Linked DNA regions of Caenorhabditis elegans. The protein of the gene in region 1 interacts with the protein of each later gene in a pairwise test. Each region holds a gene or a part of one and is shown in the gene's direction. Other genes may lie near its edges.

Region 1 (10,466 bases):
TACTCTATCAGGTACCATCAAAAAATTTTCAAAAATAATGTTAATCTCCAAAATCGTCCTCCGCTCCGAAAAATGAAATCGGATGTTTGCCTTTCGGAAAATGAAAAAAAAATGAAATTGTGATATTGGGGTCGAAAAATATTTTTTCAGAAAGCTGAGAACACGTTATTTACGAATTTCATGTTCATTTTTGATTATTTCTTTTTTGAAAAGTTCTGAAATTAAATCATGAACCTCATTCTCCCGTGACATTTTTTCGCTTTATCAACAAAAGATTTGATCAGTTTTTCAATTGTTTTTAAGCAAAAATAAATTTCACGTGAGAATGAATTTAGGTTCATGATTAAATTTTAGGTCTTTTCAAAAAAGAAATAATCAAAAATGAACATGAAATTCGTAAATAACGTGTTCTCAGCTTTCTGAAAATATATTTTTCGAACCCAACGTCACAATTTCATTTTTTGTCATTTTCCAAAAGGCAAACATCCGATTTCATTTTTCGGAGCGGAGGACGATTTTGGAGATGAACATTATTTTTGAAAATTGTTTGATGGTACCTTATAGAGTACTCAAAATGATGATGTTTCGCGCAAATTTCAAATTTTTGCGTAGGATATGAAGAGTTTTATGAGTGAAAATGGATTTTTTTGAAAAACAGTATGTAACTTGGCTGACATAAAAATATAAAAAAACTTAAAACTGAAAAAATGTAGAACAATATTTTTCAGTTAATATTCTACAAAATGTTTTTTCTGAAATTCAATGTATGTTGGGTTCAGACATGTACAACAGAAAAGTTTTCAAAATTTTTAGTAGCTTTTGGTAAAATGCCTTTGACTCTTTGTATCTTAACAAATAATTGTTATTTTGCAATGAAAAGTTATGCAAAAGAAATCAAACATATTTCTAATCATTTTGTTAGTTAAACATTTGTTTTCTAGACCTGTATTTTTTAAGATACGCCAGTTTGAAGATATGCAATTTAGCGAGTTTAGGAAGTTATACCATCGAGCCTTGCCTTGCTCCTTTTGCTGACAGATATTAATTTAATGAGGAAATTTTAAATGATTCTGTTGTCTAGCCATTGAATCGTAAAAAACAACTTTCTCAACAATGTCCAGTCTTGGTAATCTTTGTTCTTCCTATGTATTGTTCTATGAACAATTCATGATGATGTCTCGGTATTATTCAAATGTGCACTGAAATTCATTGTTTTGATTCAAATTTTGCACCGAAATGTATGCAAACCAAATTATGAATTGAGAGCGTCCCGCTTGTTTCAGGAATGTAGCTATCAACTTGAAAGACCTTTGTATGATTCGCAATTTTTTAAAATTTTTCGTCTTATATCAGCAAATTTTAGGATTGACAATTTGAACGTTATTCAGAAAAAACACAAAAACTGAAGCTCCATGAAAATGAGCTGCAAACTGGAACAAAAAAGTAGCGGAAACATACCGAGAATTTGCAGTTTTTCTCTGCAAACAACAAAAACACGCAGCTCGATACATAAATCGGCCGTGGCCGTCCAAATTCGATTGGTCCCTGGAGAAAAAGGACGGATGAAAGCATTGAAGATATGTAGAAGTTGCAAGAAGAGACACCATTCTCACGCCTTTTCTCCATATTTCTTTTAACAATCGTTTTGGTTTTAGTGGCAGTTTTCAAGGAAAACGCTGTAACTTAGTTTTTTTCTAGATTTGATGCGTTTGTCCGATTTTCTTGTGAAAGAACTTTTGAAAATATCTGGTGATGTGCCTACTCAGAATTCGTCGTCTAATTTCAAAGAGTTGGGTCCTAAAAGAATTAAGCCATCTATAAACACCGAAATTTTTATGACTTTTAAAGCTGACTGCTAGAGATTTGTATCCGGAAAAATTCGAAGTTTTGTATTCGATTTCGGTATGGTGAATTACCACTGAAATGCTTTAATAGTTTTCATGGAATAATAATATTAAGTACTGTCTATTATAATCCCAATAATCTAGTATCCATGGATCCAGAGTGATAATTTGGAGGAAACCCCCCCCCCCCCCCCAAGTTCCATTATTAAAATTCCTGTCGGTCAACAATCAGCTGCTAGATATATTGTGATGATAAAAATAATAAGTATTAAAATTTGAACACTTCGAAAAATTAATAATCTTGTGGAGAAACCAAATTTCGGCATCCCTACCACCTGACTCTTGTAGCGTCACAAACTTTTGCGAACCACTACTGACCCACCAAAACACTTTTCAACATTCTTCTCTCTGGTTTTTCTAATCACAAAGTTCCTCCATCAATCACAAACGAGTCTCTCTCTTTCAAACTCAAAGTACGTGTTTTTCTGAGCTCACTCTCTCCCTCTCTTTCAATGTTAAAACAAAAGTCAGACTGAAAACAAAACGAGCTGTGACAAATTGTTTTTTGTCGAAATATCCCTCACTAACCTCTTTCAATTTAACACTATTTTAACTCGTGAAAAGCCCAGAGACAACTGTCCCAGTGTGTGTTTCGTCGTTAAACCCAATGGGTAATCAAGAAGAGATGATTCGACCTTTGTTCTTGCAAAAATCACAATTTTTTGATGGGTTAAGAGGAAAGGAGGAGGAAATAGATTCAATTTGTTTGGGTCAAGTAACTTTCAAAAAACAAAAGTGCGATCATTCTACTGTGTCAGAGATCCTTTTGATTTTGAAAGGTTACCCTGGGCATTGAGCAGCAGGTAACACAAAAAACACATTGTGTTCAAAAACTGAAAAAAATTCATTGGATGATCCATGGGATTATGTATTTGTTTTGAAAACAGTACAGAACTAAACAAATAAAATGGAATTTTGAATATAATTCAAAAGTTTCTGGGCCATATTGTGAACATTATCAATATTTGGATGTTTCAAAAAAATTTTAAAAGTTTTCAACTAAATTTTCAAAATTATGCAACTTGGGTTTTTTTTTCATTTTTCTTATTATTTGGATTCTCCAGAACTTACGAAGTTTTCACTTTTCTGTTCATTTGTAGAAAAATAGTAAAGGCCACGTTTGGAATACTGTCTGTGACAGTTTTCCTACTGTCAGAATAGTTTGGACTTTTTATTCAAAGTTCTTTCTTTGAAAAACTAATGATCTTGGTATGTATAAGGTGTTTTGATCTAGAGTTGGAAAACCCGAGTCAATTGATCAAATAACTTCTATTTCAGTATCAAGGTTTTTGGGATTTTCGGTGAAAGTAATCCTATGAGATGCTACTACAATTTCCAGAAGTTTACATTTTCCAACACACGCACAGAGACCAGTCATCACTTATCACAACTTGATACATAAATATTTCAATAAAAAAATAATCGATGCAAATCTGTCACCCTCACTCAAATGTTTTTTGTTTCTTCCTCCTCCTCTTTTTCTTCCAAAAATTTCCATGAAATTTCCATATTTTCCATTATTTTACTCTGCTTACGCAAATACATTGTGTACCTATATTTGAAGCTTCATTTGGTGATGTTGTTGATAAAATTGAGAATGGAGTGGAAAATTATATATGTTTTATCAGTTGATGAATTAAACATTGAGGACAAGAAATATCAAAATTTGAAAGCAAAAAACACTCAAGACATAGACTACACTAATTGATTATTATGGAAAATCAATAAGATTCTAAATTCCAACCAACAACACATTTGATGTTTGTTTTTTGAGTAATCGTCTAATCAAAATATTTCATAAAAATGTCATATTTTAATCGTTCAATTTTTTAGAGCAATAAAATCAGTTACCGGCTAATATGACATTTGGAAGCAATATTAAATTCATGAATGTCTGAAATTCGTGTTTCAAGGCACTTATATTTATTCGATTTTGCCTAGAAAGATTATAGAACACAACACTAAGAGTTCTTGCCGCTATTTTCACCAATAAAAATGCTATACTGTCTAAGTTCTGCAATGTTCATACAATCTCCTATAGGACCATAGTTTGAGACTTTTTGTAAAGTTATGCTAACTCTTACTAACTGGGTGAAGAAATCTGTATTATACACCAAATCACAAATTGCACTAGGCAATTATACGAAAAAAAAAACAGTTTCCCCCTCTCTCATGGTTGAATCGTATCTAACCAGTGCTTATCCCAGATACAATCTTTGTCTTTTTTTATTTCAGAGACACTTTTCGGTTTTCTTTTTTCTCTCCCGCCGTCCATGTTTCGAACTGTGTGGTCATAGACTTATGAAAGAGCATATGAGAATAAGAGACGCAGATCCACACACTCTCCTGGGGCACCGCCTACTTTTGCCGCCGCCGCGCCCACCGTCAGCAATGCCATTTTTCAATAAGGAACACACTAAAAACTCTTAAATCTCTGAAACTTTTTATTTCTGGAATACCACCACAATTCCTGAATTGTGCTAGAAAACAATTGCCATCAGAGGTACACAAAAGTGTTTTCCATTTTCTTATTTCATTAAATCCTGGCTACTGTTGCTTAATTTTAATTAAAACTATTCCAATATGACACGAGCACCAGGAGACGCTGGAGCTGTTAGAAGGCAAAGATTGTGGCTTTACGAGTCCGTCAGGTTGGTCTTTTCTCATTTTTCATTTGTATTTTTTGTTTGTGTTGAGTTGAAGTAGGTAAGATTTTTGTGATCTTAAAACTAAAATTTCCTATTAATTTATTGACTTTCTAGCATTTTTTATATTTTTGGAAAAATATATTTCTGTTCTAAAAGCCCTATTTACGCGTACAACGATCTATAGTGCTGCTTTTGGAAAGTAGATAATAATCTACAAATTAAAAAAACCTTGGAATGATGTATATTCAAACATAATTTTCAAATTAATTTAAATTAATTTAGTTTAAATTGAGAATACAGGTTAAAAAAAACAATTTAAAGTTATCTAGTACCGTTGTACTATTAAATGTCTAAAATTTCGTTTTTTTAATTGAGCCTTAACATCTTTTTTCATATTTATTTTCAAAGTTTCTTCCAAGATGTTTCCAATATCCAATTCCATCTGAACTTTTAATATTCATTTAATCTTTAATTCTTTAACTTTTACTGCTTCTCATCTGTAAACTTTTGCAACTACTAATTTCAGTATAATTCCCGAATAAGATCACTCCTCTCATCCCATACTCTTATTTCAACTTAAAAAATTAGGCTCATTTTCATTTCTCATGTGCTCTTACTAGGACTAATCTGTCAAAAACCTTCTTTGCAAGATGATTTGACAGGCTCTTTTTCTTTCTATCTTTTCAAAGCACTCACAAACACACAAACATTAGGAACAGCACAGGCGTCAAGGAGGCGAAAAAGTATCGAATTTCGGTTTTGACGTGTCATATGGGGAGTTGGGAGAGATCGCTTGATAAGTTTGCAATGTTTCCATAGTATTGTCTTAAGGTCAAATATCGAGAGAAAAAAGGTGAAAATAGATTGGTTCGGCGAGTACAAAAGATCGAAATACACAAAAAAATCGGTGCTCTTGTCTGAACTTCGAGAAATTATGTTTATTTACCATGAGTCCTTTTAAATTTTTCAACAAAAATGCATGTTTTCTGTTTTGAAAACTAATGAAATCTACAATTCTAAATGTTCTTTTTGAACATGTCTCAATGCTTTACAAACTCAAATTTCACCAAATCAAGCCAATATTTCCACACAATTAAACATCTTCCTAGACTCTTTTTTTTCTATTTCTGTCTTCATTTCTTCCAATTTGCTGACTCGTTCTCTCGAACAATCAGTGCTGAAATTGCAGCATCACATGTGAGTGCGTAAGCAAGTAACCCTGCTACAAATCAGTCAGAACTGACTGATAATATGTGATAAGGAAACCAAAAAAGTCTTTCCCTCATCAGTTGTCGCCAACAGTGAAAACAAAAACCCAAATTTAAAACTCTTCAAGTTAATAAACAAAGTAAAGTTTTGCTGGGGACAGAAAAAAATATATAAAATGGTTTAAAAATAGAAAAAAGGGGAAATGAAAAGTGGCTATAAACTGCACATGTTTACCCATTAGACATGACGACCATAGAATTTGAAGAAAAAAAGAGAAGAATAAATGAAGAATTTTTGGAGAAAAGGAAGGAGATAAAACATTATGACGTATCTAGAATATTCTAAAGTCTTCGAACTACGGGTTACGTTTCTGTAAGCATGACAAAGTGCCTGCCTTGCCTATTTTCTTGGCGGGAAATTAGGTTTTTAAAACTTTCTTAAAACATAATTAAGATTTGAAAACAAAGAAGTTGAAGTCCCAATAATTTTTTATGAATATTCAAAACATTTCAGACTTTAAAAAAATTGAAATGTAACTATAACTAGTCTTACCGGATATTTAAAAATTGCAGTTCATCGTTTTTTTCCTATTTTTCCAAATTGCGATTTTTTGTTGCTAGGAACAGGGCACTTTTGAGCAATGAACCAAGCCTATTTCTAGTATTCATTTAAACTTTTTAATTCTAAATTTTTGATTCAGAATTCAATTTACTACATAGTACTTTTTATCTCGTGTCGCTGTTTTTTATTTTTTATCAAAAACTTTGGCTCAACTCCTAAAATTCACAAATTTGCACACGGACTTTCGGCTGACCTTGTATTGGTATTGTTTTCTATCTAGTTCAATATTTCCTCGTTTTCAAATCATAATCTATTTCCAATTTATATCTGATAAACTGATTGATTCTGACCTGAAAACCGCTTACGTGTTCTCCCTGAGCTAACATACTACAATCCACTTGAGAAAGTACTCCCGCTGTTCAAAGTACACATAGACAATTACTAAGAAAACAGTTTCATAAATCAAGTCAGAACCGATTTATTTCGAAATCCACTTAGTGATTAGTAATTTATTTTCTTTGAAAAAGTGTTCAAATATTCGAATGACGCAAATTGTACACTCCGTGATCTTTGTTGGTCAATAAGAAATCAAGAACTAGTGATAAGAGATCGAGAGACGCAGGGAATGTTCGTTTCGTTTTTTTAAACGATGACAATCGGTATGTGGGATAAAGGATCGAACATCGATGGAACAACTAATCGAATAATTCTGTAACACTGGTCAAGTGTTTATTAGCCACTAGAAATAGAACAACAAGGAACTTCTGTAGACAGAAAAACGAGAAATCAGAAGGAAGTTTGGTAATGCCAGCATTTAAAAATTGAAACTAATGACTGTTAAGAAAAACTAAAATATTAAACAAATTAAGTAAAATCAATAGCTATTCCGTAAACTGTCTGAACAGAACGACCTAGAATGTGAACTTTACGAATTCCTTATAAGCTTCAGGTACCGAACATTCAAAAAGTTATATCAACTTTGAACTTTGTCCTATCTAAACTGCAAAATTACCTATTTTAAAATGACGAATCATTAACAACCCGATTGCATGCGTTTTTAGATCAGTTCAGTGCGTCCAAAATATCTTCGTAAATCGCACACCTTCTCGTTTCTCTAGTTTCCTTTTTCATTCCAAGTTTCTCTTAATTTATCACAATAAATCTATTCTTGTTCCATTCCAAAAGATTAAAGGTCTCCCGTTTGTGTGGTTTTCGTTGACAAATGATATTATCGTTTTCCGATTGACAAGAGATGTCTGATCATAGATGGAAATACATCGAAACATCAACTCATGAATTACAAGTCATTTTTTGTATCCTGGGAATCGTTCACTGTTTGCGCGATTTACCTGGCTGCCGAGAGGACAAGATTAAGTAGACCACGTGTTTGAGCCGCCCGTGTATGAGAGAGAGAGAGATCAGATCAGTGACGTGGCACACGGGATACGTTGAGCAAATAAGTGAGCACTCTTGACGATCATGATCTACAGTTAAAATCGAGAAGAATCGAATGGTATATCAGGGATCAGAAACTATAGTACATTGATAAGAATATAAAAACTTGTTGATGTTAATAGTTTGACACATTGAACTTTATCCATTCTCTCTGAAGTTGCTCAACTGTTCAGAGCAAATATTTTTGTTCAAATATCTCCTCATAATATTCTGCTGAAAACCTGATTGTTGTAGGTGTGATCTTCCTTCTTCCCCTCACTGAACCCCATTCCATAACCCTGAAACGACATTTTCTCAACAAAAAAATCTCAATCGCACCTTTTCGCATAAATATTCTTTTCTTCATGTGCTCCGAAACTTTTTTCTTTCTCACCGACATCTCAACGTGCAGGATAAAAAGTGAAATTGTGTTCAAACGCAAAAAAGAAAAAGGCAAAGCAAAAAAACAATAAGGAAGTTGTGAAAAGCATTCCTTTATGATGGAATCCAGGAGAGCCCAAATAGAAAAAAAAAAGAAAAAAGGAGCAGAGCTTGATGTCATAGGTCCCTGTGATTCCTATTTGAAACAAAATTGAATTAGTACCACGTCGAGAAGATTCCATCAGAAAAGAGACAATATTCCCTTTTATTTTGATGTGTATCTTCTGCAATCAAAAAACTTACTTTTTCATAAAAAATGTTCCAACGTGCAACATAACTAATTTGAAAGCAATTTATGTGACTTTATATGACCGTACTGTATTTTTATTATCCCTAGAGGTTTGCATAAAAATTCCCAATTATGGTATCAGGTTTAAAAGAACATTTGTGGAAAATTCTTGTTTCGTTCTATAATGCTTTTTTAAAAAATATTTTCATATGAAAACTTAAAGGTTCACATACAAAATAATGCTGAAAAGAGTCACTCTGCGGAGAGACCCTCGCTTCAAATTTCAAAGTGCTCACCGCGGTTCACAAATTTGTGTCAATCGAAATTTAAGTTTTTAACATGTTCTTGGAAATTCAAAGAATCTAGAACGTACATATATTCGAGAAGTCACCGATTTTGATCCCTTTTTGATCTACCCCCGCGCACAGCTTAAACCAATTGAGTTCGGGTCTTCTCGAGTCAATGAATTTAAAATCACAAACCCAATCACTCATCTAATGTACCACGGAAACCAGCTCAAACGGCGAAATGTGAGGAAAAAACGAATCTGGTTTTCGTTCCGAGTCTCCAGATGTCGTTATATTCCCTTTTTCTCTCTACATCCCCTTCATTCTTCTTCACTTTTTGTCGTTTTTTCTTGTTGTTGTGGTTCTGGTGCTCCACCACCATCACATCGGTCTCTTCTCCTGTTCTCTCAATTTTCTTCTATTTTTCACCTTTGCTCCCATCAACCACAATTTCAACTTTCAACCTTTTACTTTTCTGCTTTTCATGGGCTTTTTGTTTTCCTAATCTTTATAAATAAGAGCGTGACTTCTGAAAATTGTCTAGATCCAAAGATCTTTGGATCCTAGAAGAATTTGTAATGTATAAGACACCTGTCAACAAATTGTCAGATTTTCTGAAAATCAGGAAGAAAAACTCCACTAAATTCTGAATCCTAGAAATTTGAGCTGAGCAGGTTTGAACCTTGTTTTTAAGTTGAACACCAAGGAAAGTCAGTCCAGCCATTGGCATTCTTCTTAAATATCTCTTCAACAACTTATTTGAAATAATTTCCGATTTTTTAAAATTTAAAATTCTCAGTTGAACCTGAACGTGCACACACCATTTCTGAGCCTAACGAGGAAAATGGGTATCTCGTTCAGTTTAAATGGAGAAATGAATAAACTTTTAATACTATTTTATTTAATACTTTTTTGGCAGGGATATATTTAACACACAAGTACCAATTTTCCTTCATTTTTGCTGATTCCGTGAGCTTTCTTGTTGATTATTATTATTTAACGTTCAGATTAACATAATCGGAGAAATATTTATTCATGTACGTTAGATACTGTTCATTAAACTTCTGCTGCAAAAACCACGTGGAGCCAGAATGTTTTATTTCGGGTCGATCTTCAAAAAATGCGGGAGTTGAGACGCAGACATCTCACCTGATTTTGGATGGTTAAGAGCGTGTTGACCCTACAATTTTTCTGGAAATATTTTTCCGCATTTTTTGTAGATCAAACTGTAATGAGACAGCCTGACACCACGTGGAAAAATAAAATAAAAACTCCGATTCCACACTCTTGACTTTTTGATCTACGCTAGCGGTCCGACTAATAGCAGTTCAGTTGTTATTTAACAAATTAGTCCCGCGCATCCACACCGGCTATCCGTTTCTTTTACTCTTTTAAAAGATCTTTTCACCTGAAGGGCTCATGAAATTCGCTCGAGTTGAGGGTTCGAATTTCACAACAAAGAGAAAGGTGCTTAGCGCCCGCGGGAGGTAACCGAGTAGCAGCTGTGCGACCACGTAATAAATGTATTTCCCGTCTAATTCTTTGCACTCTCCCGGATTTTCGTAATATTTCAAAATTTTAAAGTTTGAAGAAAGGAGAGTATAACGTGGTCCAGTTTACTTGAAAGTGTGAATTTCAAATCTATTATTAAAACTCCTGGTAATTCATCTTGCAAAGTAGTATTCATCACTAGGATCTTCAAAGTTACAGTACTTCGTGAAATTATTTATTTCATCCAATATTCTAGAAAATA
Region 2 (10,016 bases), on another chromosome or scaffold:
ACAAATGCTGAATTGGCACACACCAATGTACGACTGCAAAACGAGGTGGATGAGCAGGATGAGTGGAAAGCAAAGATTGAAGAGGTTAGACCCTTTTTTTATAGTTTATCGATTTATGACTTTTATATCATGCTAAATTCCAGGAAAAGGAACAACTCGAGCAGCACGTGAAGGAACTTGAAGACCAGGTCGCTGAGCTCATGGAACAGCATGAGGTATGAGAAATATTTTGAACAACTTCGGAATAATTATTTTTTAGACTCATTTTCGACAAGCTCAACTTCTTCAATCAGCTACGTCATCGGCTAACACAGAAAACATCAGCAAAGTTCATGATTCTGAAAAAGAAGTTCAACGGTTATCAGCTATCGAAAAAATTCTAAACAATCGAATTTTGGCACTGGAAGACCAGAACTTGGAATTGGAAGAGAAATACCAAGAGATGGAAGATGAAATGCTTTCCCTGAAGCAAGATAGTACCAAAAAATCGGAAATAGTTGCTGGAACCTCAAATTGGGAGGACTCTTGGGATGAAAAAGGTGATGAAAATGCAAAAGAGTTGGTTGAAGCTCGAAATGAAGTTGAACGACTTTTGGATGTTGAGAAAGCGTTGACATTGAGAATGGAAATGCTTCAAATTCAAAATGTACAGTTGGAAAGTCGTGTTAGGGAGCAAGAAGATGTTAATAAAGTAACGAAAGAAACGAAGGATTATGACAATTATGTTTTTTTTTAGAGCGTTACATCCCATGTTAGACAACCGGAATCTTCAGACCAAGTTGAAGAAGACGATTGGGGATGGGGAGAAGAAAAGGAACCGGTGAGTTGTTTTTAAAAAAATTTAAAGATACTAAAGAGATACAATTTCCAATCAGTTTTTACCAAATTCCATGATAGTATGTTGAAAAAATGTCTTTTAGACTACAACAATTCAAAAACGAGATGACGATTGGGGATGGGATGAAACTCAGGAAGAGCCGAAGGAACTCTCAGAAAAGACTGAACTTGATAAAGAGTTACAAGAAGCGAAATCAGAAATTGGACGACTTGTTGAAATCGAAAAAGTATTGAACAATCGGATTTTGTCGCTCGAAGATCAAAATTTGGAACTTGAAGAACGTCTCCAAGAAATGGAAGAAGAACTTTTAGATGAGAAGAATAAAAAGAAAGAAGTCGATGCTAAAGTTGAACAAAAGTCAGAGGAAAACTGGGGAGACTGGGGTGAAGATGATGCCGAAGCTGCTACAGAGTCGAATGTTGTAGTTTCAACACTACAAAGTACAGTTGCAGAACTTCAAGATCGTCTTAAGTTCCAAAAAGAAGTTATTGAGAAAGCGGAAGCAGAACTCATTGAAACTCAGGAAAAGGTTAGGATCAAATGTTTTAATTAAACTCACAGCATACAAAACAGTCAATTTTAGAATAAATCTTTAAAATTTCTCGAATTTCCAATGATATTAAAATACTTTCAGTACGATGAACTCGAACAAGTCTACGAGCAGTCACAACAAGCTCAAAACTCTAACAAGGAATTGATTCATGTAGTCGAGAATTTGAAATCTCAAATGGGCCAGATTCAACAAGACCGAGACAAATTGATGACTGACTTGGTTACAGTGCAAGCTGAGAAACTCGAGTTAGAGAAAATAATTCAAAAGTTGGAAGTTGACATTGCTGAGAAGGAACAAGAAAAGACAGATAATGATGGATGGAACGATGAGGATTGGAGAGAGGATGATCAGAAAGAGACAGAAAGTGAAAAGGTAATTAAATTTCAGAAATGGCAAATGACATTAGATAATGTTTTAATTTAACTTGTATACAAAAATTAGAAATTACGTAATTTCTAATTTTCAGTTGACCCAACTTCGTAATGAACTCACAGCTCGAATTGAACAGCTTGAATCTCAAAAATCGAATGAACAAGCCCAAATGTCGGAAAAATTGAGCCAAGTAGAATCTATGAAAGTTCAAATTGAGCAGAAACTTTATGAAACTCGAGAAGAGCTTGATGACCTGAAAAAAGAGTTGAAGCTTAAGGAAATCGAGCTTCAGAAGGCTTCTGAAGCTTCAACAACTGCATCATCTGAATGGAACGACGATGGTTGGAACGATGATGATGGAGAAATTGATCGCATGAAAGATACGCAGAAAGTTTTAGAAATGAAAGTGGAAGCGTTGCAAGATGAGCTACAGAGACTGAAAGATAATGAGATTGAGGTGAGCGAAAAACGTGTGAACGGGTACTGTAGAAAAATTTCATGAATCATAATATCTATATTACTGTAACTTGTTGTGTTTTCAGTTAACCGAAACAATTTCTGCTCTCCAATCAAAGTTGTATGACGTTCAATCAGAACTGGAAGATACCAAACAGAAGCTAGTCGAGGCTGAAAATTCGGCTTCAGGATGGAATGATGATGATGCGTGGAACAAAAATGAAAATGAAATTGAAGAAGTAAAGAAGGCATTGGAAATCGAGATTTCAAATAGGAATGATACTATTGTGAAACTTCAAAATCTTGTCTCTAATCTACGGCAACAGCTTATCGAGGCATCCGAATCGGCTGATCTGAAGTCTCTGGAAGAGTTGGAACAGTTAAAAGAAGAACTTCGCATTGTTTCGGAGCAGAATGGATTGCTTAAGGATTCGGAAGCTCGATTATTGGATCACGCTGACGAGTTCGCCGTTCAAATGGACAAGTATCGTGAGAAATGCGAAGTTCTGACAGCAAAAATTGCAGAACTGGAAGCACAACTTCAGAATCCTGCTGAAGAAGATCAACAGCAGAAGACATCAAACGTCGAGCTAGTCAAGCTGAGGTGAGTTAAATCTTTTTAACGTTTAAATGAATTGGTGTATAGAACGAAATTTTATTTTAAACTAAAGTATTTGATAGCATGTTCCGGACATGTGAAAATCGAAAAAATAAAGTAACACACAATCAGAAAATTAAATATAGATTTATATTAATATTATTTCAGACAACAACTTGCAAATGCTCAACAGGATATGCGAGTTCAAAATCTGACGATTTCTGATCGTGAAGGTCTTATCGCGGAGTATCGTCATCAAATTGCCGAGCAGACCAAGACAATTGAAGAACTTCACTTGAAACTAAAAACCTTCTCAGCGGCGGCTCGTCGAACTTCTCCACGAGTGCCAATGTCATCGAATGTACCAGCTCTCTCATCCCGCCCATCATCCAGAATGTCAACGTCGTCACGAATCTCAACCGCGTCTTCGTTTGTGCCAGAATCCGTGGCAGTACCACTACAATCAACTGGATCAGCGTTTGATGTCGTCGTACGACAGGTATAAATTTAGCTTTTCATATGATTTCCAGATGCCCAAAACCTAATTGATCACGTTTTCAAACTTAAATTCTTCTGAAAATGTTATCTATGTTACCTTCAAACATTTTTTATGGCGACATCTAAAATAGTGGTATTTCGAAAAAAAATCTCATTGTACATTCGGCCGATATCGGATGCGATACACAAAACCAAGTAATCAATATTACTTACAGAGTGGCGAGCCTCTTCGACGTCGTAACAAATAGATGAGATGACCCCTGTACGTTGCCCGTGGAGAGTGTGGTTCACTGTTTCTTCCAACACTACAAATCTCCAACATACCATTCATTTGCATTCGGTGTTTTCTCCCTCCCTCTTCTCGTTTTTAATCTTTTTTACTTTTATTCTAGGTCTGTCAGTTCTGTAGGATCCCTAATTAAGTAACTTTTCCTCAAGTATTTTTTAATGTATATTCGTAGATCTGCTAAACCTAAATTGAATCGATAATTTTTGGAAACCTTCTTTTCGAGTCGATAATATACATGAGCGTTCTGTTTTATAGTTTTCATCCAGATGACTTGCCCATACGTCATCGTCAAGAGATGACTGATTAATTTATTATTTTTTACATCCAAAGTGCCTTGATATCGGTAGCTAATCGAGTTTTTTGAAGGGTTTTCATTTGTTTTCTTGTTTATAATGCACGAATTGTATGGAAATGATTGTAGTTATGATATTATAAGATATGAATACGGTTTCATTTAACTTCTTTTTTTTAAATCTGTTTTAGTGCAAGGATTTTGGATTTTCAGAGAGTAATGTCAGGAATCAAACCAAGTGTTTCAAAAGGAGAAAGTCAAGCACCGCAAACAAGACAATTGGAAGGTAAACATTTTTGAAATCACAGTGTTTCATAACAGGAATGATATTATTTCTGACGTTTTTTTTTGTATAATTAATCGAAGCTGTCACATCGCCTCGCGCACGCGTGTATGATAGGTTCCATTCGCAATTTGTTCCTGGAAAATTACGGAGAATGAAAGAAAAAGTGTGACGTCATGCGGGTTTTTCTACTTGCGTTTTATGTATCCCGTCTGAAAATCTGAAACATCGATAGTCACGCAGTCCTCTGAATACTTTTCCTCGTGAATGTATATTAAATTTCAGCGTCTAAGCCTACAGTTCAAGGAATAATTGATATTCTTCATGATACCATAAGCTATGTCCAAGTTGAGAAACAAAGTAAAACTATTAATTTTTCCATTCCTCATTTGCAAATGATTAAAGAACAGCTTGAAAGTATTCAATTAAAAGATAAAAACTACAAGGATTTGGAAAAAAAGTTCAATGAAAAACAGGATGAACATTTGGAAACGTAAGTATACTGTTTTTTCGTAATTTTTGTAAGATTAAACTTGTTTCAGAATCCAGAAGTTAGATTCAACACTCAGCCGTCAGAAGCTTAAGTATGATGATATGAGACAGGCACTTTCTGTAAAAATCTATACACTCGAGAATGAATGTTCCAATTTGCAAGACAACTATGCTGACTTGCAAAATGATTTTGAAGTTCAAATTGAAAAATTCAAAAAACTTCAAAACTTGAAAAGTATTCAAAATCACGAGAATTCAAAAAATGTGAATCCTCTAACATTGGATGAGCTCACCGAACAGTTGAAACAATTCAAAGAAGAACTAAGTATTGATCAGAAACTGAAAAATATTCAGTTAACTTGTGAAGGACTACAGTCAGCTGTTGGAAATTTTGAAATGAATTCGAAAAAAGCTAAGGAAATTGAAATTCTTAAAATGGATATAAAGAAGACACAAGAGCTCTATGAATCAAGGTAACTATGTTTATCTGTATAGTCGACCGAAAACATAACATGCACTGCCATCGAGATATAGTAATCTGTTTGGCAGTGTAAGAACAAACATTTTATGTTTCGTAATTACTTTTTCCAGACTGCTCAGGGCTGCTCAAGAAAACAAGAAACTGCTCAGAAAAAACGATACATTGAAAAACTATCTTGATAATCAAACAGCGAAAATTGGAGAGCTCACAGCTGGAAACAAAACAGAGAATCGTTCACCAACTCCAACATTGCAGGGACTTATTGAAATTCTTCAAAAGTTTTCAGACGATCAAAAACTTGAACCAGAATGTAAGATGCTGCAGTTGCATAAAGAGGAGTGTCGTTTGATTTTGGAAAGTCTTGAAGTGCACGATAAGAAAGATCAAGAGATTCAGTGGTTCCAAAGACAAATTAACGATCAGAAAAAAAGGTAAGTTTTGACGAAACATTTATATTTTGTTGATCTTAAAAACACATAAAAATTATTACAGAATCGCTAATCTTGGTTGGTCATACGAAAATGCTCTTGAAGATAAGGATGCTCTAGAATTAAAGCTTGAACATCAATACGAGCAGATGATGGAATTGAAAAAGAATTTCATTCCGAAAAACGAAATTTCTGAGGATTTGGCGAAGACTGTCAGAAATTTTGGAAAACGTCTCAGAAATTCTCGAGGAAATTTGAAGAATGCGTTCAAAGAATTAGAAGCTTTAAAAGAAGTTCAAGAGGAAGAAGGCTCATCAGATGAAAGTTCTGAAAGCAGCGCTTCTGATGATTTACCAGATGGTGACAGCTCGTCAGAGGAATAGCATCGAATCAGAAAATTGAGATTTCATTGAAATTAAATGTACCTTCTTACAATGACTAATATTTTAAAAAATTTTAACTATTCACAAATCAACGATTTTCTTGTTATTCGCTCTACGATATATCATGATTTCCCATTTATCCGACTTTCTCTTTGTTTTCAAATTTTCTTGATTATTCTGATTAACTTTACACTGTTCCAACTGTTCTTGTTTCTGAAATAAAATCTTCCAATAAGTCCTTCCAAGAACCAAAGACAAACTTATGTATAAAAAATGTCACAATTATAACAGCTGCGGACGAGCCCGAACAGGTTGAAAGTCTTTCTCAACCTGTGGACAAATGACGGTCCAACAGCCGGTAATGGACCTAAGACGGCCTTCAGTTTGCCCGCTATAAAACCGTACGTATTAGCCAGCGGTGGGCCACTTTTCACTGTTGCCGCTTCAAATTTGTCATGGCTTGGAATGGATAGAAGATTGTTGAGACGATGGGTATATCAGATTTCTTATTCTGTTCGTAAAGTCTGGATCATTTTGAGATTATTCTGCGTCTAATGATACAATTATCTTATTTATGTTCCTCGAGGGTGTCATTTTTCCATGCTATCGATTTTTTAGACAATCATAAATGTTGTTAGGTTGACCGAAGGCGCTGGAAGATGATGAACATGCCCTAAATTTTTGACTTTTGACAAGCCAAAGTTTACATTTCTGTTCATTAGATCTTTGAAAGCAATTTGATTTTTGTAACATCGGATAGCTTGATTGTGAGTCACATAGGATCTCTCCGGTCTATTGACTTTGTGACATTTACATTAAAAATATTTTAAAATAGGAAGGATGCTAATATGGATTTGTAGTGTAAAACAATGGTTTATGTAAAATAATTATTATATTTGAAGTACATATGTAGATAAAAACATTGATTTAAAAAATAAAAGATAAAATAACTGTATTTTATATTATAAAAAAGTTGCTCTGTTGTAAAAGTTAAGATGTAATATTATGGGAACAGCAATCAACAAGTATGGTTTTTTATAGCTTTTTATTAAACAGTTGAATCATTTTTGGTGGTTTTCTCGGTTGTTTCCTTGGCCGCCTTTTTGACCATTTCTTTGCTTTCTTTAGCCTGCTTTGCGAGAAATCTTGCCATTTTCATATCCCTCTTCCTTCCCACCAACTTTTCCTGTGCACGCATGTCAAGCGATTTTTGAGTGTACTGTGGGTAGCACACTCTTCGTGCAAGACGAAGGGGTGGTGGGCTGAAAAGTTAAATAATCTTTTTAATCTGATAAAATCCAAAATCCTAATATTTGCGAGAGATTTTTGTCATTTTGAAGGATTTGGGGATTAAATACTGATTTTTAGGCATCGCGCACTACCTGGTAATTCTAGCGCAAGCAGACCCACATCAACTCCAAAAACTGCCGATTATACTTTCTGGAATCGTGTTAAATTTTGCGATAGTTAAAAAAAATAACATGACAATAAACAAAACTTTGTCATTTGAAATTTCTTCTTGGATCATGCTTATTAAAATTGTTTGTAAAATTATCCAAACTCTTAAGAGGGTTATGCTTGTTATTGTAATTATATGAATATCGGTACGTGTACTACGTCTCACACAAAATGCAGAAAATGGCCAGAAGGTAGACAAGAGGGTGCTGGTTCACAAAAAATACTGAAGATTTGCTCTCATTTGTAATCAATTTGAAAATAAACACGGTAAAATTTTATCAGAATAAATAGCAAAGCTGAAAGAGCAAATAAATATTTGGTATATTTATTAAACCTAAAAGGTAGCCACTATCACTAGCTGGAAAAAAATTAGTTCTGAGAATAACTTACTATGGTGCACGCTTTGATTCAGCGTCTCCGCATTTTTCCGAAACCATTCCAGTCGATGATCCTGGAGACATGCCTAGTAGATTCCAAAAAAAAGTAGATTTGAAGTGAACATGAAAGTATTAAAAGTATAAGCTGGCAAGATTTGCAGACAAGATATAAGACGAGCATGCGAAGAGAAAGAGATGAAAAAGAAAAAGAAAGAGGAAAAATTAGCTGAAATCATAGAGCCGTGGTGCAATGCACATAAGTTTCTTGAGTTGGGATAAAATATTTTATGTGTGTTCAGAAAATCAAAAATTAAGATGATGAAAATGAAAATCAGCGTATCGTTTCGAAATAACTAAAACATGAGATTTTGACACTCCTGGTAAGAATGATTTCATAATCGAAATATAAAAAAAAACAAGACAGCAAAACGTTTAAATATTGATAGATTCATACGTCACAAGAAGATGAAATTACGAATAGCAAGTACAACAATTATTTTGAAATATCGGAAAATCTGGTCTCATGATGATAGTAGTGAATCATAAAATATCAAAGCGTTATAAGAAAGCTCAGTATGAAATGTGTAATTGGGCCATGGGGGATTCATTTTTAAAAGTCTAATTACAGTTTGAGACAGAAATAATCTGTAACTTAAATTTGAATACACATGATTACCACATGGTTTTCTAAATGTAATATTATAATTGAAACATCAATCATTCAGAACTTGTAAAATCCCATGATCCCCCAGAGTTGGTGTTCAAACATTTGGAGCGGTGCGATGATGAGTAGAATGAATTTTATTGAAGAGCAGTTGCGCATGTGTAATAACGGAGGAAGCGTTGCTTAAGGGTCATTGGAGAGAGAAAAGAAGGGAAAAGTAGTGGTTACTGTACCTAATGACGTCATAAGTATTCCACTTTTTGGTGCATCGTGACCCAGTTCAAGCACGAATGGCTATTGCAAAATATTTTAATTTCACCATTCTAGATTTATCTCAGTTTGATATTAAAACGAACTAAACAAGTTTTCAATTTTCAAAAGTTATATGTGGTTTCAAACAATTTTTGTTATTTTCTTTGTGAGTTTACAAGTGGAAAATCATTTAATTTTTAAAGATGATTCCACAAAACAGAAGGACATTTGGTACTAAGTTTTTTATAAGTAGAGAAAAATTATTGGTGTTTTATGGAGAAATGAAAAAAGAAAGAGAATATAATAATAATAATTCAAAACCAAGAGGAATCCGAAATAATGGTCGAACATAAAAAAGAAAACGCTCTCCTTAAAGCCCTCTCAACATAATAATTCTTCTATTAATAAAAGTTCATCGTTACTGTATCAAAATGTGTATACAACTGACGGTCAACATTTATTAGAAGAAGGGATGAGCAATAAACGTAATCGACACCCAAAATGTGTCAGGATGAGTTGATGATACAGTTGTGAAACCAGATACCCATTGACCTTTGATTGCGCATTACATGGAAATGACAGGTCGCATCTCTGCAAGGGGAACCGAGCAGGAAGGACTTTAGGATTGGCGGGACTAATTGTAAGAATATTCCTGCGAACACTGGGCAATTTTTGGATGTTTTGAAAAACATGGTTAGATTGAATACTTACTGAAATTTTCGTACAGTTGAAAAATAGTTCACTGCCCATAAAAGTGTAAATATTTTCAAAATGAAAAGAGAACTCAACATTTAATTCATGACCCATATCAAAGAGACTTATCAGTTTTTTATCAAACTACTAGGTTATCAGTGAAGCGAAACGGGGAGTCTATTCCACTTTTTTGTCAGTAAAAACGGGATGTACGTTTTCGATGAAAGGGCAACGTGTTCTTTATTCGAAATGTGTATTTTTTGATACAACTATTTATTACTTTACAAAAATAATATCATACATCGTTCAAAAATTGTTGGCTAGAAGAGCATGAAAATGAATGTGGTGTGAACTATTTTTCAGAGGGATTCATGAAAGCACTGTTCCGAAGTGAATGCAAAATATAAGATGGATACGGAGCCATTCTCAAGTCGGTATGCAATGAATGAGGAATTAAATTTGAATAAAATATCTATCTATGATTGAAAACACCTTATTAAATTTATACAGGATTAAATTTTGATCAAATGGTTGTCCATCTCCCCAGTACCGTTTGTGCAATTTTCGAAGGTTGAAAACTAAAGTTTCGACATCAGGCATAGGTTTTTT
Region 3 (13,268 bases), 2.2 Mb from region 1:
TTCGAACATTTTCAGCGCGGTAAAAAATCGATCATCCAAAAGATGCCATCCCCGCTAGAGGTTACAATGGAAGTTCAAGAAGAAGAAGAAGAAGAAGCGGAGGAGGAACGGCCTGCATCAAGAAGCACTCGCTCTGCATCTGTCAAAAATACAACTGTTGACCCATCGTCATCTGCACTTGCTTCTACCAAACGTACAACTTCTAGAAAGAGGGGCAATTCGGAAACGATCGACTTTAATCAGGACGACAAATCGGCACCGACGACGCCAAAAAGAGGAAGACCCGCCAAAAAGGATGCAGGATCTCCTAAAGTTGGAAGTAAAGCTGTAAGCATTTTTAATTATTTTTTTGAATTAAAAATGTTGTATTCATAAATTGTAAATTGATTTGTTTTCGTTTCAGCGTGGCACCAAGCCTAAATCGATATTCGAAAATCAAGAAGATGAAGAAGATCGTTCATCCTCTCCAGATATCGAACAACCAGCCACACCTACACGGTCTTCCAAACGAACGGCTAGATCCAGAGCAAATTCCGAATCGATCGATGATGATAGCAAGCAGAAGACCCCAAAAAAGAAAAATGCCGCGGTTAATGAAGCTGGTACCAGTAAACAGTCTAGAAGTGTGACGGTATGATCCCAAAACATAATTTTTTTTCAAAATTATTATTTTCAGAGATCTCGAGCATCATCTATTGATGTACAACAAGAGGTGGAAGAGCCAACCACTCCAAAACGCGGAAGAGGAAGACCGCCCAAAACCGTTCTGGAAAATATTGAAGAGGGTGAAGAAGAGAGAAAAGAAACGGCTGCGGTAATATTTTCAGCAATACGATTTCTCAAACGAGGTGTTTTATTTTCAGACTCCTCTACTGCGTTCAGCTCGCCGTGCTAAACAATAGAGGTCGAACACAGCTCAAATTTTAACTATTTGTCCTTATTTATTTTATTATTTGAAATTCTTCAACTGACACATGTGAAATAAGTTCCAATAAAATTGTTTGGCATTAACATTGAATTGGAAATAAAGCAATAAAGGTGCATAGAACGGAGAGTTCAGGATGGCGTTATAGTTTTTAAATTTCAAGCAACAAATTCGATAATTTAATTTTAACTGGAAAATGTGAACGATTGTTCCTAGCATGCGAAACAGGTGTTTATACCACATTTAAAAAATTTCCAAAACGAAGCTCTGCAGAATTTTTTCTAATTTCTCGTGGTAATGATGAATTATTATTTAATTTTGTTTTTTAATGCACCAATAAAACGTTTTTTCGTGTAGAAAAAAGACGGCATTGTTAAATATATTCTTCACTGCAAAAATCCAATTTTATAAAAACTAATTTAAATCTTTCGAAAGGTTACTGTAACAGTCATTTGCGTGTGCATTTCTACGCAATATGTGGCGCCAAAAGGCTTGTCCTAAAATTCGGCTACCCATTCTAAATAAAATGATTCTTCGCAGTTGTTCTCTGTTAACAGCTTGTTTTTTTTATGTTTTGATGATATTTTCATGTTAAAATAATAATTTTAACGTTGTTCATAGACGTTAGCATGTAAGGACGATCTTGACGTATTGTAAACATCTGTAAAATTAGTTATCCGTGCATCAGACTGGGTCTGAGTCTTTTTTACAATTTACTGTAACATTTTTGTATCTTTTTCACGTTAATACTTGATCAAATTGTAAAATGTTCTCTCAGAAGTGACATTCACTTGGCAAATGACGGAAGCTGACGATCCCAAGAAGAAAATACGCGCGCGCATCGAGCGCGACGTGTACAGTGTTCTGCTATCATTCCAGGAAGGAGCGACCCCAAATCAAGTAGAAAGGAGAATGGAGTTTGTGTTTCGCGGCATTATTTCTCAAATTTAATGTATTAACTATTTAGCGACACGCTTGGCTACACATATGTTGGAAAATATGTACAGGCTGGTGTGAGAGATATGGCTCAACTTCTGCGAGAGCACAAAGATGTACGACAAAATTTATCCGGAGTTTTCAGTGTTGTGTGAGAAATATATATTGCTCTTATTCGAGTCAAAACTCAATACATTCGTTTTCAGCGCAAATGAGGACAATCAAGACCTAATCAATCTGATCTCAAAGCAGAAGAAAAAAAAGAAAGGTGGAAAAGGTGCAAAGCCCATTCGTGCAGCTACGTCTATGGGATTCCATAATAAAAGTGGATTCGGATATGCAGCTCACTTGCGCTCACCGAAACCCTCATTTATGTATCCAGCTTCATCTGCCAGAGCGAACCCGGCAAAGGTTCAAATTGAAAAAAAAAAACTATGTTCAAGATTAACATAATAATATTGCAGCCACAAGCAACTGGGTATCGCAATACCGTTCGACACCCACCTGTCCGCCCTTCCACTGCAACTGGTCACTCTAGTTTCGCAAATAGATCAGCTTATTCACATCATACAACGAGAAGCACCACTGTTGGTCCGGTCAAAATTGCTCCTAGTGCGACTGCTCAGCGTCCTCTTTTACGTCAACCTGTAACCGTTGTTCAAAGACTGTCGTCTACAGTGGCTGTTCCAGTTTTGCAACCCGGGATTGACTCGAAGTGTATGCCTTCGATCGTTGATTTTTCGAACAACGTTAAGCGCATGATGCTTCTGGAATATCCTGCTGATGTCCATGTAAATTTTTTTCAACATTTGCAAATTGCAACTGATTTTTCATATTACAGCTCTCTGAATTGACCGAAATCTACGATAAGCATTTCGATGTATCAATTGATCCACTCCAGTTGTTTAGCAAGAGCTGGATGATGTTCGTGAAGACTTCATTCAAAGAATGGCTGCAACTCGGAACAGACGGTCGAGTTGAAGTGAAGGAACCCTGGTTCACAAATTTTGGAGCTGCGTTAAAGAAATCAATGCCACCTGCTCCTGAAAAGAAGAAACCAACGACACTGCATGAGCCCACTTCAAGTGTCGCATCATCGAGCTTACCGATTTCACAAGGATTTCGGTATCAAATACCAGTTGTTCGTCCGATAGTGTCTGTCGCAGAAAGTATGAAAGGTATTTACATTTGAAAATAATTAGTAGATTGTAATATTTTATTTTAGGACTCACAGTGAGTGCCCGTAGCGTAATGGGAACTCCAAAAGATCTTCCTGGTGTGTCTAACCCGATTAAAAACACAGCTCGGGGAAGTAATAAGCCTCGAAATGGTAAATCCAGAAGTTTCCATTAAAAAAAACTAATAATTTTTATTCATCAGATCTGGCATCTTCGAAAGCGAGTAAGGATCTTGTTGTTCCTGTGATGAAAACTACGTGTATCAAATCACTTGAAGATACTTCTACCAGTAGTTCGAATCCTTCAACATTGCAATTATCTACTGCCTCTACCTCTGCAACAGATCAGAAACTGCCAAAAATGAGCTTTGGAAGACAGATAGAAAAAGGATCGTCGATTCCAGGGAGACATATATCTCTTGCTCTCACGGAAATTAAAAACCAAAAAGTTATTGTGAGTAATTTTCTTGCTAGATTCCATTAATTATAATATACCAAGTGCGGTATCGTTCCGTTTTCGGATCAAGACTAGCTTTTTGTTGTTTTATTGCTAAAATACTGCAATTTTTATGTTCATTAAAACAAAAACAATATTTTTAACTATGCTAGAAAATACCATGCCGACTGTGATGAATAAGCTAAATGAATTTCAGGCGGCTTCTATTGTTGGAAAGAGTGCCAAAACTTCTACAAAAGTGCCATCCACGACTAGAAGTGTAGTTCTCCCACCAATGTCAAAAGGACCAGGATTGGCACGTTCTCGTAACTTTTCACCACAACAATCGACTACATCTTCAATTGATAATGAGTGTCTAGAAGCTATCAATGCTGCGTTGCCGTCGGATAAGGATAGTTGGTGATCGAAATTTTACGTGCTTTAAAATATCCTGTTTATGTGTTTTTGTAAAATTATTTTTTAATTAGTTTTAATAGTAACATTGTTTTTTTTATATTTTGGATGCGAGTCATTCACGAATTTTACTATAAATTTTTTTTCCGGTGCATTCTATTCTTGTTTCGCATAATTAAGAAAAATGTGTTCTGAAACATGAAAAAATATTTGTTAGCTTAAATAGCGTGACCCCTTTAGATGCAAAATTGTAGAGTAGCTGTGAGAGCTCTTCCGACGGGCCACTCAAATAATTGAAAGCGAAATGCAGTTTCTCTTTTTCTCTTCCCCAATGCATTCAGTTTCCTATTTCTCTGCCATGTCAAGATTGGCATCAAACGATGTTCGAATATGGGGGAAAACTGGGGCGGTCGGCTTGTGCACACAGACAGACCCATAAAACATGAATTTATTATTCTACGCGCACGCAAAACGTGGCACTATAGAGACTAAGAAACTGCAGGAAATTCGTTTTGAAGATGAGATAACATCAACGAACGGTGTAAAACATAGAGACAAAAAGTGCTCTGGATAACGACGCGCTATATAAGATTGACCCTTAAGGGTAAAAGAATTCTTATCCAAAAATGTTCTCCAATATTGATTTTTAAGAGAATATTATATTTCTATGCTGTCTAGTGAATAGTTTTTCAATTTGGCACATTATTTAGTAAAATATGTTGAAATAATGAAACTATTTATTAAAACAAATTTTTGAAGTCTAAAAAGAGCCTTTTCACTAGCTAAACCAGTAAATACCTCTAGTCACGGCACTATCAGGTTTGTACAATGACTGTATTTCTTTAAATCGATTGTCGTCTGTTCGTGTGTCTGTATCTCCAATATTTAGCCCCAAGACACTGTCTCTAACCTCCCGAATGAGTGAGAGAACACACGGCGAGTTTTTTCTGTATCACTGTCTGCGTATCTTACTCTTCCATTCTGTGTTCTCTTTTCTCCAGTCGGGACAAGGGAAATACGACGGCCGGATGAGTCATCCCGTGTGTGCCTCCTTGTGATGGTTTTTTTGGTGCTTTTCTGTTGGAATTGTACAAAATTTTAAATTAAAACTGATTTATAAATAATTTCAGCTAATTTTGAAATTGGACAGCTGAAATGAAACAAAAAATCGGAAATTTTGCTTATCAATTCCGTTGGTTGATTAAAATATGTTTCATTTTAAAAATATTTCGTAAGATATTCTTATGGGTATAAAGTTACGAAATGTTCAGAAAGTCACGGAAATTCGAGAGAATCGATTCAAGTGGAAAGAAATGTATCAAGTTTCTTAGATATTTAGAATACTTAATTGTTGTCTTCTTCTCTTTTCGAACATTATTTAATTATCTTAACAACCTAATTATAATTTTTGTTTTCCCATTTCCGGATCAATCTGCTTTATTAAATATTTCGGTTTTGTTCTATAAACACTGTAAAAACAAAGTCAATGGTCACATGATCTTTCTCTTCTTTTCCTCTCCTTACCATGCTCTCCCTCTCCGAATATTTTAGCAATTCGTCCTTTTTGCAGTTCGTTATCATTCTCTTCAATGCCTCTCCGGTGGTGTTAAAAGTGATTTATTATCGATTTTGTTCGTCGGATGATGACCACCGCTGTTCAGCCGTCAGATACAACTGGATTCGGCGGAGGACCCGCTGGATCAAGAGCTTCGGATCTTATTCAGTTCCAAGAAATTGTTAGTTTTTCTCTCTCATCGAACGCGAGAAAAATAATTTTATTCATTACAGATGTCCGAATCGGCCGAATCCTCTTCGTCATCTAGTCAAACGAATGTTAGCGCCGCGAACACATTGCCACGTGAAAGTAATGGACAGAATTACGCTGACGATCCATCACATGTGTATACAAATATCAGAGAAATCGAAGAATTAAACAGGTACGGGAAATATCTGAAATGATTCAGGTTTAGTTATAATGTTTTGAAAAATTGGAATTAGTGTGCAAATCGTGGGTGAAGCATTTGAAAAAGAGGTCAAAAATGGTTTGAAACTTGCCAATCTCTGAAAAATTAAGTTCGATAATTGGTAAATGACAATTTCAGACTATGTTTAAGCACTTTTTCAAATTCTTTCGTCAAATTGAATTCTTATTTTCAATTATATCTATTATTTTTCCATATTTTCTCACTAATATTTATGAAAAAATGTTGGAACAACACCTGGAGCATTTTTTTAATCACTGATGATTATTTAATTTTCATTTTTGATTCTAAAATCATCATAAAACATTTTTAAAAGCTTCAGCCGACCGGTTCCACCGACTCCGCGAGCCGACGCGCAGCCCCGTAGAGATCTTCTAAATGGTTGGTTTGAATACGAGACCGACGTCGGACGGACATTTTTCTTCAATAAAGAAACTGGAAAAAGTCAATGGATTCCACCGAGGTTTATCAGAACACCCGCACAAGTTCAGGTATTATTTTTTACTTTTAAAAAATTAAAATCTGGTAAGATGTTATAATTTCATTCAGTTTTCAATTTTCAGGAATTTCTTCGTGCAACAAGAACGAATCTAGATACTACATGCAGTTTTCAAGGATCCTCGACATCTTCATCAGAAGAACAAAAAGAGAACAAAATGCGTGAATCTTTAGCTGATGACGACAGAAAAAGTCAATTGATAGAAGATGAAGAAGTGTTTGATGAAGTTTGCGATGACGTGGATGAACAATCATCACCTGTAATTGATCTTCAATCACGGCCTCTTCCAATTCCATTCTCTGACAGTTTTACGGATGATGAAGATGAAGATGATGTGAAACCTATAGAAGGATCCATAGCTTCAGATTCCGATTTTGACGAAGAACCTGTTCCAACATCATCAAGAAAAGCTTCTACAGCATCCGGAGTAATGATGCCACATCCCTATGCACATGTTTCTTCGTTTCAATCAACGTTTCCAAGGTTGGTTTTACAAAATTTGTAATAGTGGAGCAAAACGAAAAAAAAATCATTAAGTTTGAAACATGGCTAACTTTAGTGAATTTTCAGTTGTGCCTCATTTGAATTACCGCGCCTCGAAACTCCGCTAATTTTTCCGTTTTTCACTTCGATTTTCTCGACTGGTTCAGACAAAAATAATATTTTAGGCGAAACGTAACTGCCATTATAGGCATAAAACCTTCCTTTTCACTTGAAAATTCAAGGAAAATGAAGAACTTGCGGCAGTATTGAGAACTACAGATGCAAAAAAAGTTATCGGCATTTGAGATCAACCTGAGTATTTTTGAGTGAAATTCCCATCGACGCTACCCCTAAATTCAATAATGTTATATCCTATCACTAAAGTTACATTTTTAGGGCCAAAAATGAAGACACTGACAAATTGGCTTCGTATGTGATTCCCCCAGATGCCAATGAAACATCAAAAACTCCCACCGCAATCCGTGTCCGTCGTCCATCTCCGACGAACCTAAGATCGGTCTCATTTCAGAACAAATGTACAGTTCTAAAAAATGTTCCAATGCCACAAGTGCTGCCGACAACCTCATCAAGTTTCGATCACCATCCGCAATATCACTCTAATACGCCGGATCGGCCGATCCTTATGGAAGATTCTGCCGATTTTACACCATCATCACGATGTGAAGAACGTCGAGGTAGTGGTGATGGACGTGAACCTGTTCGAACGATTCGATGCGGTGATTTGGAAAGAAGTGAAAATGATGAACCAGCAGAGAAAGTTGTAAAGCCAAAAAAACGTGAATGGATCACGAACTACATGTATTTAACAACGGCTCATCTCATTTTGTATAAAGACCAAAAAAGTGCAGAGGTAGTTTTTTTTATGTTGTTGATAATTAACGCAGAAAAAAAGATTTAAGAAATTTTAACAAAATGTGCAGAGATGATGTATTATTGTCTGCTTTTTGGAAGTTTTTCTGAAAATGATCTGAAAATGTTTCATCCACCTCGGTCAAAAAATTGCACTCTTCTTCAGAAACTAAAAATTTCAAAAAGCTTCCGAAATGTTTGCTTATCTCTAAACAGCTTAAAAATGATCCGAAGTTTGCAAAAATCCACTTTTGGAACAACTCGACTGATCATAAAAGTAGTTGAAAAGTTTGTTGATAAAGTTCAGATGGTTCGAGTGGAGTTTTTGCAGCTTAAATATTTATATACATATATATCAGCTCAGCCTAAACATAATGTTTCAAATTGAAGTGCCATATTTTGTATATATTTATTTCCTTTCCTTGTCAGTAGATCAACCAATACCAAATAGTTGTCAACTTTCAGAAACACGGAAAACATTATGATGCTCCACAAGGAGTATGGGATTTACGAGGAGCAAGTGTGACATGGTATCAAGACAATCGGGATGTACAAAAGAAGAAACAACGGAAATATATTCAATTAGAGCTGTGTAACACGAAGAAATACCTGTTACGAGGTCCCAATGACACGGAAGCCGTCGAATGGTACAAGTCACTGGAAGAAGTTGTCGCAAAGCTTGTAAGATTTCTTTATTTGAAAATTATCCAGAAAATAGACAAAAAAAATCAAGTGTTTTTGTTTCATTTTTCTTTTTCTCCCGCCCTTGGCAGGTACAATTAAGAGATTATTCGGCTATAAGCTACTTTGCCAAGTTGTTTCCAACTTTCTCAAGACTGTAGAAATAAGAATTCACGGCCGAAGTTTTTCTCCGTCTATTATTGCAAAGTTTTTACTTGTTGTGTATTCTCAAAAAAGTACCATGTGGCATACTGCTTGCTCCAGAGTCCGAATGTTGAGCCTGCAACGGTCAAATAGTGAGGTGATTCATGGGAGAAAATTCTGAAAATCCTATTAAGCTGGATTTTCGCTTGAAAAATATCTAACCCGGTCTCAACACGACCGAAAATGCTGAAATGAAACAGTGTGTGCGCCTTTGATAATTACAGTAGTCCCGCTATTTTACCATTTTCCTGCCTTTTCGTCTAAAACCTTTTTTTCCTTTTTTTTTTGTGACACTAATCAAAAAATATTGAAATTATAAAAAATCTATCTAGGAAAATTAAATAAATCTTGCTGTTTTTCAATTTTCTTCGACTTATCTTTTTTTTTTTAATTGTGCATACAATTTCACACAATAAAAGGTTTTTTGAGAAAAACGAGAAAAATGGACTATTGTACTTCTTAAAGGCGCACAACTTTTTTCATTTAAACCTATTCGATCGCGTCGAGACCGTATACTGTTTTTTGCATCCGATTATAGATTTCAAGACTATGTATATCGTTTCAGCCGTCTCCTGGCTCTTCAAACCAACCGATGATTGATGTAACAAATGGCGTTGCTCGTAATCCGTCATACATTGGCAGCACGCGTCCACTTTCCCATGCATTAATTCCAATGTGAGTTTTTTTTTCAAAAAAAAAAAAATTGAATTCAAAATTCTGAGAGAACCATGTCTTATTGAAAATGTTTTGTTTTTTAAGAAGCCGAAGTATGCGACGACGTGATGATCCAATGTCACAATCTGCAATTGAAACGGTATCGACAAGTGTATCAACTGATGAACCAAGACCATCAAAAGAGACGATCATTGAGAAGTTGAGAAGATTCTTCCGAACACGCCCTACAGTGGAAAGTCTTAAAGAGAAGGGAATATATAAACGTAAGATTGGAAATATATGCAAACCAGCCGTGGACCGCACCTACGGCGCGGCCCCCGACTTTTTTTTTTGAGAAAATACAATTATCATAAGGTTTCCCAAATTTCCGTTGCTCTGTCAAAAATCAAACTACATAGTGACGGAACGACACGCGCTTTATATATAGTAAATTGATATTGAAATAAGAATCATTTCAGCTGAACCAGTATTCGGATCAACTCTTTCTGCAATCTGTCAACATGAAAACTCGTTGGTACCGAAGTTTATTAGAGTTATCACTGAAGTTATTGAGAGTAAAGGATTGGAGACAGATGGAATTTATCGGTTAGTTTATGAAATTGGAAAAAAATTACATGAAGTGTCGCCATTTTGTGAAAAAATGACCAAATGCCATAACAAAACACATCTAAAAATTTATTTACTATCAAAAGGGGTAGACCTAATAATTTTTTCCGAAAAACATTACCCAGATGCGAACTGTTTGCGTTGAAAAAACTTTTCCCGGTCTCGACACGATTTTTTAAAATTTAAATGATTGTGTGCCTTTAAAAAGTACTGTAATTTCCAACTCACAGTTGCTGCGGTTTTTCGATTAAAATTTATTTATTTGTATTCAAAAAAATTATGAAAAATCAACATCAAAATTACTGTATTTTTTAAAGGCACACTTTAAAAATTATAGTTTTGGAATATCTTTAAAAAATTTGAACTGTTACGAGAGTATTCTCTAACTGTATTTTCAGTTTTTTAAAGGATGACTACCAAATAAAAATAGCATTGAAACTTGAAATTTCTTATTTCAGAGTGAGTGGAAACCTGTCCGCAGTCCAAAAAATTCGATGTCAAGCTGATCAAGACAATTATAAAGCTCTTGTGTCTGAAGAAGATATTCATGTTCTTACTGGTGCTCTTAAACTCTTTTTCCGAGAGCTAACCGATCCACTTTTCCCAATTTCTCTTCATAAGGAATACACATCAGCTATGCGTAAGTTTTTTTTTTGAAGTTTTAAAATGTCCTAAACCAATTTTCTATTCCAGAAATGCCCAACGCGACCACTCGTTTCAAAAAATTCGAAGAACTTCTAAGTCGACTTCCAAACGAGAATCGTGAAACATTGAAAATGTTACTTCGTCATTTGAATCGTGTAGCCTCGCATTCATCACAAAATCGAATGCAACAACATAATCTTGCTATTGTTTTTGGTCCAACACTATTCCATAATGGTGATGGAGCCGTGAATTTGGCAACCAAAAATAAGAAAGCTGGAAAGAAGGCGAAACCTTCGAAAAAGGTTTGTAAAACTTCATTTATTGAGAATGGAGTGAAAAATCTTTAAAAAATTGATATAACATATCATTAAACAAATTTTGAAATTTTTTACAGTTATAATTGGTCATTACCGTTCATTTTCTATATTCACCAAATTATTTGTAATTTAAGTTATTGAAAATTGAGTCAAAACTCAAAAACCAACTGATATTCCTTGTTTAAAATACTTATAATTTCCAGGAAGAAACTCAAGCAACTCCTGTCCAATCGAATTCTCATCTCGCCTTCTCAATGATTATGCAATCCCAAATTGTTCAATATCTTCTCGAATCGGCCAACAAATTTGATATTCTCAAAGCTCCAGTCAATATTGGACGATAATCTATAGATTTTTCAAATTTTCCAAAAGAGTTGTGACCTTATTTCTCACCGTTTCACTTTGGGTGTTTTATCGCCGAAAAATGGGTATTACTTTTATCGTTTTCTCTTATTTTCTTTCTACTTTTTTTTCCTTGACTTTCGGGATTTGATCAATTAATGTTGTAAATATGTACTGTAATATTCATTTTCCTCAACACATTTTCAGTATGCTAGTCTTTTTTTTTCATCCGTTTACTTATTACAGTCTTCTCCTTTTACGCTTTATTCTTTTTTTATGTTGTATTTTCAATCTTCCTACGCTCAAACAAGATGAATAAATTGTGATAATTGTAAACGAGCGCGGACGATAAAAACTCAAAGTTTAGCTCTTTTTGGCATATTTTTTTGGAATTGAAGAAAAGGAAAATACGAAACACTAAAATTTTGAAAGATGCCGGATAAAAAGACACTTTGGATGCTCAATGAGCTCGAAGGATTCGAAAAACCAAAAATCAAATTGGAGCAGTATGCCACGTCATCAGAGCTTGCCGGTAATTTTTTCCTAAAAACTGCATATTAATTGTGGAATAATTTCCTCAAATGTGCTCTGAGAAAATTGAAAAAATACCGAAATTTACCAAAAATTGAAATTTTCCAAAAAAGAATTTAAAAGAAAAAACTTGAAAGCCTAAATCAGAGAAAACAGTCTCAATAATAAAACTTTTAAAGTTTAAAAATTGTTTTAAACAATTTTTGGTTTATTTTTTTCAGAGAATAATACCATTTTTCGAAAAAATGCAATCTGTTTTCAAAAATCCTTCATAATATGACTTCTTCAATCGAAAAAAACTTTCAAATCTTTTTTTGCAAAATCACAAATTGAAAAATTAAGTAATTTTTCACAGTTATATTCGGTTTGTTACTATTATCCATTTTCTGTAATTTAAAATAAAAAATCAAACATTCTTCTTTAAATATAGAAAATCTTGTTCAAGCCGAACATAATTATTGTTTAAAGAAAAGAAAATCAAAAAATTTGTTCCGCCTATATCATGGCGCTTTCTTATGTTTTCAGCTTTCAAATTTAGAAAAAATATTATAAAAAAACTATCGAAGCCGCGCTTCAAAATTTTATTTTTTGGAGCTTCTTACAGTATACACTGTAAAAAACATTTTTGAAATAAGCTTTTACCAACTAAAATCAAAATAAGAAAATCAAAATAATTACAGTCTCGATGATGGAAATGATCGATGAAACAATTGGTTTTGAAGGAAAGAAATTAATTGATATCGGATGTGGATGTGGAATGTTAATGACGACAGCTGCCACAATGTATGAGTTGGAGACTGTTTTAGGAGTTGATATAGATGATGAAGCACTTAAAATTTGTTCTAGAAATTTGGAAACAGCTGAAGTACAGGATAGGTGAGAACTAAAAAAAAAGTAAAATATATGTTTACATTCTAAATTCAACTAACATTTTTCAATTTGAAATTTAACCTACAAAAATACCCGGTCTCGAAGCGGCTCAAAATGTGGAGTTAGAAACTACAGTACTCTTTAAAAGCGCACATCTTTCTGAATTTAAGAAAATCGGGCGCTTCGAGACCGGGTACCGTATTTTCGGCTAAAAATCGTATTTGGGTAATAATAAAAAATTAAAAACTTTCAATTCTTCCAGATGCGAGCTTCTACAAGCCGACATTCTCGACCCGGAATCCGATCTTCCACGTGGCACATTCGACGTGGCTGTCATTAATCCTCCATTTGGAACAAAAAATAATGCAGGTAAATATCCAACGATCTCCTAAAACGTTACAATATCTTAAATTTCTCAGGAATCGATATGCAATTTGTCCAAATCGGTCTTCAAATGGTTCGGCCTGGTGGAAGTGTATTTTCACTTCATAAATCATCAACTAGAGATTATATTCTAAAAAATGCAAAGAAATGGGACGGAGTTGGGGTTTGTTTTTAAATTATTCTAAAATTAGAAAAAAAAATATTGAGTTTCAGGCAGAATGTTGTGCAGAAATGCGGTGGCAACTACCAGCGACTTACAAATTCCATAAACAAAAGGCCGTGGATATTGCC

What was found.
Region 2: the proteins of prk-1 (region 1) and T11B7.1 interact in a two-hybrid assay, tested with the Caenorhabditis elegans proteins (one large-scale study listed by BioGRID).
Region 3: the proteins of prk-1 (region 1) and tag-325 interact in a two-hybrid assay, tested with the Caenorhabditis elegans proteins (one large-scale study listed by BioGRID).

Annotation. Positions count from the first base shown.
Region 1 is NC_003281.10:6,985,869-6,996,334, forward strand, and holds the start of prk-1 (Serine/threonine-protein kinase 1), read left to right. Parts: upstream 1-4,299; 5' UTR 4,300-4,487; coding exon 4,488-4,555; intron 4,556-8,292; exon of another isoform or gene 8,293-8,435; intron 8,436-8,840; exon of another isoform or gene 8,841-9,052; intron 9,053-10,466.
Region 2 is NC_003282.8:8,836,610-8,846,625, forward strand, and holds T11B7.1 (Centrosomal protein of 162 kDa), read left to right. Parts: upstream 1-4,107; 5' UTR 4,108-4,115; coding exon 4,116-4,182; intron 4,183-4,464; coding exon 4,465-4,672; intron 4,673-4,721; coding exon 4,722-5,144; intron 5,145-5,262; coding exon 5,263-5,583; intron 5,584-5,644; coding exon 5,645-5,963; 3' UTR 5,964-6,196; downstream 6,197-10,016. Other genes in the region: T28C6.7 (Kinesin motor domain-containing protein), read left to right, coding at 1-84, 144-215, 260-691, 737-820, 921-1,367, 1,473-1,763, 1,858-2,220, 2,306-2,823 and 2 more; T28C6.11 (uncharacterized protein), read right to left, coding at 3,054-3,274, 3,529-3,652; T11B7.2 (Ribosomal_L30_N domain-containing protein), read right to left, coding at 7,012-7,225, 7,812-7,882.
Region 3 is NC_003281.10:4,791,383-4,804,650, forward strand, and holds tag-325 (WW domain-containing protein tag-325), read left to right. Parts: upstream 1-5,456; 5' UTR 5,457-5,528; coding exon 5,529-5,624; intron 5,625-5,676; coding exon 5,677-5,825; intron 5,826-6,186; coding exon 6,187-6,361; intron 6,362-6,433; coding exon 6,434-6,852; intron 6,853-7,248; coding exon 7,249-7,723; intron 7,724-8,187; coding exon 8,188-8,403; intron 8,404-9,172; coding exon 9,173-9,282; intron 9,283-9,366; coding exon 9,367-9,545; intron 9,546-9,740; coding exon 9,741-9,867; intron 9,868-10,346; coding exon 10,347-10,528; intron 10,529-10,581; coding exon 10,582-10,835; intron 10,836-11,053; coding exon 11,054-11,194; 3' UTR 11,195-11,525; downstream 11,526-13,268. Other genes in the region: Protein mel-28, read left to right, coding at 16-327, 404-631, 677-814, 864-902; mip-1 (HTH OST-type domain-containing protein), read left to right, coding at 1,724-1,842, 1,893-2,012, 2,068-2,272, 2,326-2,652, 2,703-3,039, 3,087-3,191, 3,242-3,492, 3,692-3,898; rRNA N(6)-adenosine-methyltransferase metl-5, read left to right, coding at 11,625-11,724, 12,404-12,599, 12,856-12,962, 13,013-13,140, 13,191-13,268.